3 linked regions of the Arabidopsis thaliana genome follow. The protein of the gene in region 1 interacts with the protein of each later gene in a pairwise test. Each region holds a gene or a part of one and is shown in the gene's direction. Other genes may lie near its edges. The genes, in order: AT5G27810, AT1G19000 and GRF6.

Evidence for each region.
Region 2: the proteins of AT5G27810 (region 1) and AT1G19000 interact in a two-hybrid assay, tested with the Arabidopsis thaliana proteins (one large-scale study listed by BioGRID).
Region 3: the proteins of AT5G27810 (region 1) and GRF6 interact in a two-hybrid assay, tested with the Arabidopsis thaliana proteins (one large-scale study listed by BioGRID).

Annotation. Positions count from the first base shown.
Region 1 is NC_003076.8:9,854,115-9,857,113, forward strand, and holds AT5G27810 (MADS-box transcription factor family protein), read left to right. Parts: upstream 1-1,556; 5' UTR 1,557-1,712; coding exon 1,713-2,072; 3' UTR 2,073-2,344; downstream 2,345-2,999.
Region 2 is NC_003070.9:6,559,967-6,564,750, reverse strand, and holds AT1G19000 (Homeodomain-like superfamily protein), read left to right. Parts: upstream 1-1,959; 5' UTR 1,960-2,066; coding exon 2,067-2,367; intron 2,368-2,559; coding exon 2,560-2,768; intron 2,769-3,068; coding exon 3,069-3,416; 3' UTR 3,417-4,260; downstream 4,261-4,784. Other genes in the region: AT1G18990 (myosin-binding protein, putative (Protein of unknown function, DUF593)), read left to right, coding at 4,319-4,784.
Region 3 is NC_003071.7:2,424,389-2,427,823, forward strand, and holds GRF6 (growth-regulating factor 6), read left to right. Parts: upstream 1-1,787; 5' UTR 1,788-1,834; coding exon 1,835-2,147; exon of another isoform or gene 2,148-2,240; coding exon 2,241-2,460; intron 2,461-2,548; coding exon 2,549-2,867; 3' UTR 2,868-2,935; downstream 2,936-3,435.

The DNA of each region.
Region 1 (2,999 bases):
GCCAAAATCTCAGGACTAGAAAATAATCAAATATGCTGGCAAGGCCAATTCGGTCCCATTAATAACTTATACATTGAATATCATAACATTTTTTGTTTTTTTCTTTCACAAATTATAGGAAAAATGGGTAAAAAACCATCACCAAATATTGTGTAAATATTTTACTAAATTGCATAACAATTTATAAGTTCTTTATAATATACACCATTCACCACTTAGTTTATTCTAATTATCTACATATACATTTTTGCAGCCACTTTGTAAAATAAATCCTGGAGTTGGGATTTATTTACAGTGGCTGCCACTGACATTTAATAATTATTTTAGATAATTAGAAAGAAAATCTTCTAATTAAATATTTGACATTTAACAATCTTCTTAAAATCTTTCTACCTTAACTACACGATTAATTACTAAAATAAAACTTTCAAAATATTTAATATCATTTAATTACTACAAAATTATCATTTTTGATGTTGCTTTTCTGCATGATTATAATCATCAAATCGCAGAGATATTTGATAGCATGTAATTACTACAAAATTACAAAATATTTAGACAATAATTCATAAACATATCATAAATAAGGTCAACATTAATAAAATAAATGAGTTTTCTTTACAGGACAGGTTGGCGGGACGGGTTTGGCAGGACGTTACGTAATAATAATTATAAACTATAAAATAAAAATATTTTATAAATAGATACAATTTACAATATATATATTAATTTAAAAAATAAATTGTTCCCCCGATATACCGCGAGTTTAAATATAGTTTTATATACATTTTGCTAGACTGCGATCTTGTAATCTTCTGATAACATCACAAGTTGGATACAATTTTTTTTTTCTCATCATGTCTCTTCTAAATTTTATTCTTTTTTCGTTAACATTTTATCCTTCAACTTACCACCCTCGTTATACTTTTTTTTTTCATTTAAGAAATGTAGTTTAGTTTTACATGCCTTTACTTATGAAGTTTTTAAACTTTACGATGGGTATTGTAATTTTGCTAACCTATTTTTAATATATATATAAAATCAAGAGATTTAAAAACTGATTTCTTAAAGAATTATCTATATGGTAAATAGTTCATGATTAATTTACCAGTCAACAACCGAGATTCAATGTCTCCAGCAAGGGAAATAATCACAAAAATATTTTGAAACAAATCTTTGACTACCTTTTAATACCATATCTTATTAATCATCACAATATTTGAAAATTATATATATTATTAAATAATTATATTAGTTGCATCATGTTTAAATAACATTACCAGATTGATATTTATTGATGATTTTTGCTGTTAAAAACTAAATTTGCTAGCTAAACATTTTATCCTATTTTATTGTTTTGATGTTACCACTCTATAAATATTTGGACTATAGTTCTACATATGTCAATCAGTAGTGATAATACATGTAGTAAATAAGAAAAACGGTTATAATCTCTATCTTCAATCCATTCAGATTTTTTTTATAATGTTCATGCATTAAAGCTTGATTTGGAAGTTTATATTTTCTTGTATTAAAATAAAGATACCCTATATAACAAATATTTGTACCTTCTCAGTACTACATAATACTACACATTAACAATCTCAAAATATACAAAAAAACATTTTAATGACGAGAAATAAAATGAAACTTGCTTTCATTTCCAACGATTCTTCAAGAAAAGCAACTTTCAAAAAAGAAAGAAGGGGTTGATGAAGAAAGTACATGAACTCTCAACTCTATGTGGCATCACATCGTGTGCGATCATCTACAGTCCGTATGATACCAGTCATGAAGTGTGGCCATCAAATTCTGGTGTGCAAAGAGTGGTTTCCGAATTTAGGACACTCCCGGAAATGGATCAACACAAAAAGATGGTAGATCAAGAAGGTTTTCTCAAACAAAGGATCGCGAAACCGACAGAGAATTTGAGGAGACAAAGAAAGGACAATAAGGAGCTCGAGATGACTGAAGTCATGTTTCGATGCTTAATTGGAAACATGGAGATGCTTAAATCAGAATCACAATCAGAATCAACAACAATGGTTTATGAAAATGATGAACCATCTTGAGCAAATGAAGTATCCAGGAGAGCAAATGGCGTTTCAATTCATGGATGATAGCCAACACAACCACATCCACCGTCATCAACAAGAGCACCAACATCATATCCCTGGAGAATCTTCCATCGCTCTTGATGTCGGCAACTCAAGCGATATCGTACATAGTTCTTGTTCTAAGTATTTCCAATAATAAATGGTTTCGTTAGGATTTTATTTAATGTGGTATTACAATAATTTCGAGAATGGATTGATAAGTGAATTTATAATTAGCTTTCAGTTTTTTTGTCATGTAATAGATTGCATCACAATTTATGTTTTTATTGTTATCAGTTTGATGATGGTGATATTTTTCATTCTATTTTCACAATGATATGTTGTTTTTAAATTTAGAGATTTGTGATACTCTTATTTTTATTGTTTCATTTTTCCGTTTATGTGTTGTTTTTCAACATATGTCTTACCTTTATTAATTCTTTAATAACATTTTGAGCAGATTAGATTTAAGGTTTCTTTTCAATTTTAGAACTGTTGAGATTTTATATTTTTTCTTTCAAATATAAAATATGACAGCTCACATTTTAAAAAAGAAAATATTTTCGTTTAAAGTGTTAAGTACAAATATTATATAATATATAATCAATAATATACACTGAAATGTTAATGTACCTAACATATTGTAAACCATTTAAAATTCTTTTAAAAACTCTTGTAAACCCTTTAATATTATGTGAACCATTTTAAAAGTCTTGTGAACCTACAACTCAATTTACTGTTTTATTGTCTTTTAGGTTCATCTACTTTGTCTAGCTTAATATTAGTCATCATAAGTTTATTGTGTTAACAACGAGAGCTTAGTGGAATTTGACCCTTAAGTGCTAACAACGATCTCTTATTTGTGGGAGTAAGCATAAGGCAATTTGAGCTATATCAACTCCG
Region 2 (4,784 bases), on another chromosome or scaffold:
GAAAAGTCTCTTTATAGTGGCTTTATCTAAACAACTCCTTTAACTTCATCTTTGTTGTGTGCAACCAAGAAAAGGTAATGGTGTCTTTCATTCATAACCAATATATGTGCTTTTCCTTTTCTTTTTCTTTTCCACAAGAAAATGTTTGATTAATAATTAGAAGATTTTTATATCTTTCCTATCATGCAGCATGCATGTTGTTAAACCCCCATGCTTAAACTTCGATGGGATATGATCATGACACCACGTTAATTTTTAAGTTAAAAAAAAAAAAAACTAACAAGATAAAGCGTAAAAGTTTTAAGTCTCTAGTTTGTTTTAAATCACTAATTGCAACAACAAAACATTTTTACAATGGAATACTTCTAATGTTGAATGATTTGAGTTAAGACGACCAAAGATTAAGAAGATAAACCAGAGAGAGTCGATAGAGATAGAAAGGTTAAGTTCATGTGCTGAACCAAGATTATTGGAGAAGCTCATCATATACTCTTTTCTTTTTGTTAAACCGTGTTACATCATTAGCTAGACTCCAATTTTTTTTAAGTTTTATGATCATTGTGATTTGTAAAGAAATTTGTTATAGACATTGAACTTGTAATCTCTTATTTAATTTGCAAAAAACAATATTTAACCAACTGATCAACAACGGTCATTTAATCGTACAATATAATTCTTATAAAATATCATGTTTATTTGCGAACATATAAAGTCAACCCCGATCAGCAACAACCTTCTCCAAAATTTGTGTGAATTCAATTATTTCTTCACTATATTTGCAAGAATGTGGTTATACTATACTTTTGTGTGATATTTTCAATTAAAATAGAGTTTAGTGATATGATCCACATGACAATATCCCTTAAAACATGATTAGTCAGTCGAATTAATCGGTCATGTGTTTCACTAGTGGTGTGAATGTGAATCAATCAGTTTGTAAACTATGAGGAGATTCATACGTTAATCATGCTTGTAACTTGTAAGGGATTATCATCATATCTGGTTTTAAAAGGACAATTTGCAAGGGAAATTAAAACTTTAAAAGGCTATTAATTGAAGGGGAAAAGGAAAAAAAGAAGAAGAGAATTGATGGATACATAAAATACTAGCTAGTATTTAAAGTGATGAGGATATCATGTGCTCCCATTGGCCCCATGTCTTCATCAAATATTTTGATGCCACAATTTGGAATATTCTTTTGATTAGTTTATCAATCATTTAATCCTAACCAGAAGTAATTTGTATTTCAATAAAAACAATGTTCTAAAAGGGATTTGGAGGATTAATTTAGATTAAAGCGAAGGATGAAATAAAGAGTACTAACAGATTGAGATTATCAAGGTAACTTTTTGGTTGCTTGTGTGATTCGTTACAAGCTAGCTAAAATAAGATAATGGTTTTTATATAAAGGTAATCAGGTTGGATGTAATCGGGAATCGCACTAAGTAAGTTGACCAGATTCGTTTAACACTAACATTACATTATAAAACACACTTATAATACCATCTTATACAGTTTAATTATGAACTACCATTCAAAAATCACATTTCATCTTCATGCGCATGACACACCATACTTCCTTTACCAACTTTTTTTTTCTCATTTCTATATTCAAATCATCAATAAGAAAATCACACTAGAAACCATTTTTTTTACGTGAGAGAAGGACGTCGAGACACATTCACTTTGCTTGAACAAAAAAAAACACATTTAATTAAAATGACAAAAATAATGAATAGAGAGAGAGACATTATCAGAATATATCCAAAGAAAATAACTCATTAATTAATAAATCCAAATGGAAGAAATGATAAATATAGAGAGACAAGCAGGTCACAGAGGAAACGAGTGACGAACAAATCATAAATAAACACGTGTCATGTTATCGTAATAACACACAACAGAGTAAGTAATGCCACGTGGCTTATCGAGTTTTTATAAAGACAAGACAGAAGAAGTAGCTCAGATCCACTCACACCTCGTCTCCTAATCTGTACGGTTCTTATTTCGAAAGGGTAAAAACCAAAAGCGACGCAAAGGGCAAAATCGGAAAAAGTGTTTTATTTATGGCCGCCGTTAGTAGTTCGTCGGAGACCGGAGACTGCGGCGTTACGGGAAAGAGAGATGAGATCATGTTGTTCGGAGTTAGAGTCGTGGTTGATCCGATGAGAAAGTGTGTGAGTTTGAACAATCTCTCTGATTATGAAAAGTCTTCTCCGGAGGATGAGATCCCTAAGATAGTCACCGCCGGAGCTGGAGATGGTGAAGATAAGAACGAAACGGATGCGACGGTGATTGTCGCTGACGGTTACGCCTCCGCCAATGACGCTGTCCAGATTTCGTCTTCTTCCGGCGGGAGGAAACGAGGTACTACTCTTTTTCTGATTCTGATAAGAGCTTAGGATTCTGATTGATTGTATTATTAGAATGTCTCTAATTTGAATCTTATCCAATTCGTGATTGAATCTATGCATGTTGGAATTTATGTCGGTGATTGATTGGTTTTGAGCTATGGATTCGTTGTCGTTGATTATTGTTTGTTTGTGTTGAACAAAACAGGGGTTCCATGGACAGAGAACGAGCATAAGAGGTTCTTGATTGGGTTGCAGAAAGTAGGAAAAGGAGATTGGAAAGGAATATCAAGAAACTTTGTGAAGAGTAGGACTCCTACTCAAGTAGCTAGTCATGCTCAGAAATACTTCCTCCGACGAACCAACCTCAACCGTCGCCGAAGAAGATCTAGCCTTTTTGATATCACTACTGAGACGGTAAATCTCTACTCTTATCCTAAATCATTTTATGTTAGCTAAATCATATGTGAATGAAAAGGTCTAGACTTTAGCTTAGTTGATAGAACTTAACTTTCTTACTTTCTTTGGTGTTCTCTGCTTTCTCAAAGCTCTTTCCTTTCTTAGGTTTTTAGTATTTCTTCTTTAGAACTTAAAGACAAAGTAATATGGAGAAGTATCATAATGATTTTTGGTCTAATTGGGTATATATCTTTTAAGTTGTAGTTTATAAACAATAATGGTAAGTGTGTGACAGTTAGGTGTGATTGGTTTGATCAGGTTACAGAAATGGCCATGGAGCAAGATCCTACTCAGGAGAACTCACCACTACCTGAAACCAACATCAGCTCTGGACAGCAAGCGATGCAAGTTTTTACTGACGTGCCGACAAAAACTGAGAATGCACCAGAGACATTTCATCTCAACGATCCATATCTGGTTCCAGTAACCTTCCAAGCAAAGCCAACATTCAATCTAAACACAGATGCTGCTCCACTTTCTCTCAACCTTTGTCTGGCATCCTCATTTAATCTTAACGAGCAACCCAACTCAAGACACTCGGCTTTCACGATGATGCCAAGCTTCAGCGATGGAGATAGCAATAGCAGCATCATCAGAGTTGCTTAGAGCTTAAACCCAAGGTGAATCTACAAGACCTTGTTTCTTTCTTTGTTTCTCTGTTGTTGTAGTACTAGTAGTACATATTAGGTATAAACAGATAAGAAAAAAGAACCCTATTAAGTCTCAGTCCTGTTTTTGATCTTTCTTTAGGCCTTACTTTGTCAAACTTTTATGTATTTTGTCTGAAAATATAATCAGGGGAAAAAAAAAACAGAACAAAAACAGAGGAAGGCTATAGAGATTGATGGACAAACTGTGTCTAGGGTGCTTCATCATCTTTGTTTGTTTGTAAAACTCTTGTCACACACACTGTTATGAGTCATTTTCTGCTGTGTGTGTTTTGTTTTGTGGTGATGTAAGTTAAAAACAAGCGTGATTCTCATGTGGCCCATCTCAATCAATGGTTGGTGATTTGTGGGGTTTTTAGGCTTTTCTATTATCTTATCTTTTGGGGATAAGATAAAAGCCTAAAACTGTATGTAACTATGTATGGTTCTTCGAATATTTTATCATTTATCTCTAATGTCATAATAATGTTGCCAATTTCATATGCCACTTCGACTTTTGTGGATTTTTTTTTTTCTCTTTCCCTAGCAAACACCATTTTTCCCTATAGTACATGACAATCCAAAAAACAGAGTAAATTTTAAAGAAAAAGAATCTAATTTTGTCAATTTTACTTGTCTGCGATTAGCCGTTATTTCAGGTATTATTGGTCAAATTAATTCTTTTCCCAATCCAAATATAGAGGACTAGATAATAAAGCTAATAACCTCTGTTTTTTTTGGGTTCCTTTTCCTGTTACCATTTCAATCTTCATGTAACCCTTTTAAGATAATTTTCTTCTTCCTGTTAATTTATCTGAAGTTTGCTTCTTATCTTCGTGATCGCTTTTTGCAATCACAATAATGTCTAACCGTTCCTTCAAGAATTTCATAGAAGAAGAACTTGGAACATTCCCACAGTTCTTAATCTACGCTCTTCTTGAATGGATCCTCATCATTATCCTCTTCATCGATGGCTTCCTCGCTTTCTTCTCTAACCAAATCGCTAAATTCTTTGACCTCAAAATCCCCTGTCTTCTCTGCACTAGACTCGACCATGTTCTTGTCAGCAGAAACCCTGATTTCTATTACAACGACTCGATATGCGATGCTCACAAGAAGAATGTCTCATCTCTCGCTTACTGTCATGTGCACAAGAAACTCTCTGAGATCAAACGTATGTGTGAAGGATGTCTTCTCTCTTTCGCTACCGAGAAAGAAACAGATGTTGATACTTACAAGTCTCTTATTGGAATCTTGCATAAGGATCTTGAGCTTCTTATCGACGATGAACGTGAGCTTCAATTGGCGTTTCCGGTTGCGGGTTCGA
Region 3 (3,435 bases), on another chromosome or scaffold:
AAAAAGTAATCATAATTACCCAAATAAAACAGTTTGTTTATATTCCTTTTTAAAATTTTAAGTAACATCGTTAATGTGCTTAGTGTTCTTTATGTTTTGCTTCCCGTCAATATTAAATAATCTTTACATGGAAATTAATCGGTCTCATATATAAAAGAGAAATTGAAGACGATTAAGATGCTATTAACTTTATTTATGAGTATGTATTATGTGAAACACCTTTTATTTATAACTTCAACATAATCGTTTCTAATCTTTCAAAAAAAACTGCCTAAATATTTTTAAATCGTTACGTCTCAAATATAGTCTTTTTAAATATAGTTAATTTATCAACCTTATATATTTTTGGATAAAAAACATGATTTATATGATCAATTTAGATGTATTTTTAGTATTAGAGGTTTTCCTAAGAAAATAAATCATGTTTTTATGAAGTGTAAGTTTCTGAGGTTTTTTCACAAACCCCCACCATCTGTTAATGCATTGGGTCTAACTTCATTTGATGACCGACTTCAAATGAATTATTTACATAGGCATGAACAAAATTTTAAATTTTGATAATTAAAATAATCTTTAACAAAGAAAAAAGATAATTAAAATAATCACAGTTTTTTTTCTTTTGAGAAATATAAAATAATTTAGAAAAATTCAAAAGAAAACAAAAATAAAAGAGGGAGAAAGAGATGTGGCATGAGTGATGGGTGTGTATGGGAGTGAGTGAGAGCTGTGAAAGGGAAGAGTCGCAGAGAGTGCAGAAGTTTTCAGAGTTTGCAGACTCACTCATTATTTTCCCTCTCTCTCTCTCAAACTTTTTTACTTCTATTCTCATAAATATTTTTTATTCAAAACAATTTATTATTCATGCATAGTGTTTTTAACACAAGTGGACCGTGTACACTTAATTTTATAAATGTCGAATGTGTTGGAGCTACGAGTACTACGAGTCGTCTATCTAACCAAAGATGTCACATTACACGATACGGTTTATTTGATTGAAGAACAAAAATAATGATTTGGTATAATTCAAAATTTATAAACTCATTACAATTGGACTTCTTTCATTTTATTTTCTAATACTATAATGAATGATTAAGAGAATGTTCTTTGTGGTTAGCTAAACCTTTATAACGATCTTTGTAATAGTTGCAATATGCTTACATGTTTCTTTTTTTATAGTTAAAACATTAAGAAGAATAGAAGAGGGACATAAATCCTCTCACTTGGCTATTTACTTACTATATTTAGGATCGAATATAAATGCTAAAAACATCTTAAATATTGTAGGGTTAAATTCAAGCTTCTTTCACAAATAAGTATTTTTTTTTTCTTATTTTTTCTTTCTCACATATACTAAAGTTTGAGATATAAGTTATATGACTCAAAAGATATCATAACAACCCAACATTAGAGCTGAAATTTTTAATGTCTTATTATTTTGTACACAACTTTACCTCTTAAGTTTCATGACTTGTTAGATTTTTTTTTTGTCAACCAAAAATAATTAGAACTTAATAGAGTCAATCCCGAAGGATATTGTTTACGTATACGTATGTAACTTGGTAGATTCTCTTTTCGGTTACCAAATTTTCTCGTTTTTCTAAACGCAAACAAAAGTTACAAACTCCTGAATATAATACGTAAATAAATTAAACATAAGTTATCTATGCCCCTTGTCACAAAATTTAGCTTTTAAGAAGGAAAAGAAAAACCTGAAATGGTGCTTAAGATAAAACCAAAACTAAAGCTGAAAAGAAAATTTTAAGAAATAAGAAAAAGGAATAATAAACAAGAAGAGGACATGAAGCACAGAGATTCTGCAGACTGCAGGTGACCAATGGACACTTTATCAATAAAAACATACCTACTACTCTCTTACACTTTCAATTTTCCAATACAAATCCCAATCTTTAATCTCTCTTTCTTCTTCATCTCTCTTTCTCTTTCTCTCTTCATGGCTACAAGGATTCCATTCACAGAATCACAATGGGAAGAACTTGAAAACCAAGCTCTTGTGTTCAAGTACTTAGCTGCAAATATGCCTGTTCCACCTCATCTTCTCTTCCTCATCAAAAGACCCTTTCTCTTCTCTTCTTCTTCTTCTTCATCTTCTTCTTCAAGCTTCTTCTCTCCCACTCTTTCTCCACACTGTAAGCACACTTTATCTTCTTTGCTTTGTGCTCTATGATGGTTATCCTTAGGGTTTGGTGATAATGTAAACGAATTTGACTCTTTTTTTTCAGTTGGGTGGAATGTGTATGAGATGGGAATGGGAAGAAAGATAGATGCAGAGCCAGGAAGATGTAGAAGAACTGATGGCAAGAAATGGAGATGCTCTAAAGAAGCTTACCCTGACTCTAAGTACTGTGAGAGACATATGCATAGAGGCAAGAACCGTTCTTCCTCAAGAAAGCCTCCTCCTACTCAATTCACTCCAAATCTCTTTCTCGACTCTTCTTCCAGGTTTCAAACACACCTTCCTCCTCTGTTTTACTCTAATGACAACACAATGATTGACTATTTTTTATCTTCAAAACATGTTTGAAAGTAGAAGAAGAAGAAGTGGATACATGGATGATTTCTTCTCCATAGAACCTTCCGGGTCAATCAAAAGCTGCTCTGGCTCAGCAATGGAAGATAATGATGATGGCTCATGTAGAGGCATCAACAACGAGGAGAAGCAGCCGGATCGACATTGCTTCATCCTTGGTACTGACTTGAGGACACGTGAGAGGCCATTGATGTTAGAGGAGAAGCTGAAACAAAGAGATCATGATAATGAAGAAGAGCAAGGAAGCAAGAGGTTTTATAGGTTTCTTGATGAATGGCCTTCTTCTAAATCTTCTGTTTCTACTTCACTCTTCATTTGATCATCTTTTGTTCTTATAACCTTGTATTTCTTGTTAAGATGGTAATGCAAATTCTCTCTTTTTTTGTCTAATTTAATTAGGAGTTTCTTTTTGTGATCCATGCATTATATTAGCATAAAAGATTTAACTTGTGTAAAGTAGTTATATTAGTTTGGTTTCAATGTTTAAATTGTTTCTGCTCATCTCTTGTCAATATTAGTGATAGTACGATGTCACTAAGTCATTGATTAGCAACAAATTTATCAATTCATGTTTCTGTAATTAATTATTTCTGATTCTTTTTGTCAGAAACTTGTTCATTAAACTATTTACTGTGGATAGTAAATAGTTTTTTTTTATAATTAAAACAGTAAATAATTTTTCTTAAAGGTTATGTTATAGAAAAAAATGATGAAGAAAATAAGAAAAGAGTAAAAAAAAGACAGGTTTTGCAATTGAGTTGAGTTGAGTTCTGCTCCCTGACTGAGTTTGGTCAGGTCTGAAAAAGCCACACACCCAATCAAAAGCTTTCTGCTCTGACTCAGTGAGAGAGAAAGACGACTTCTCTTATTCTCATCAAACTGAATTA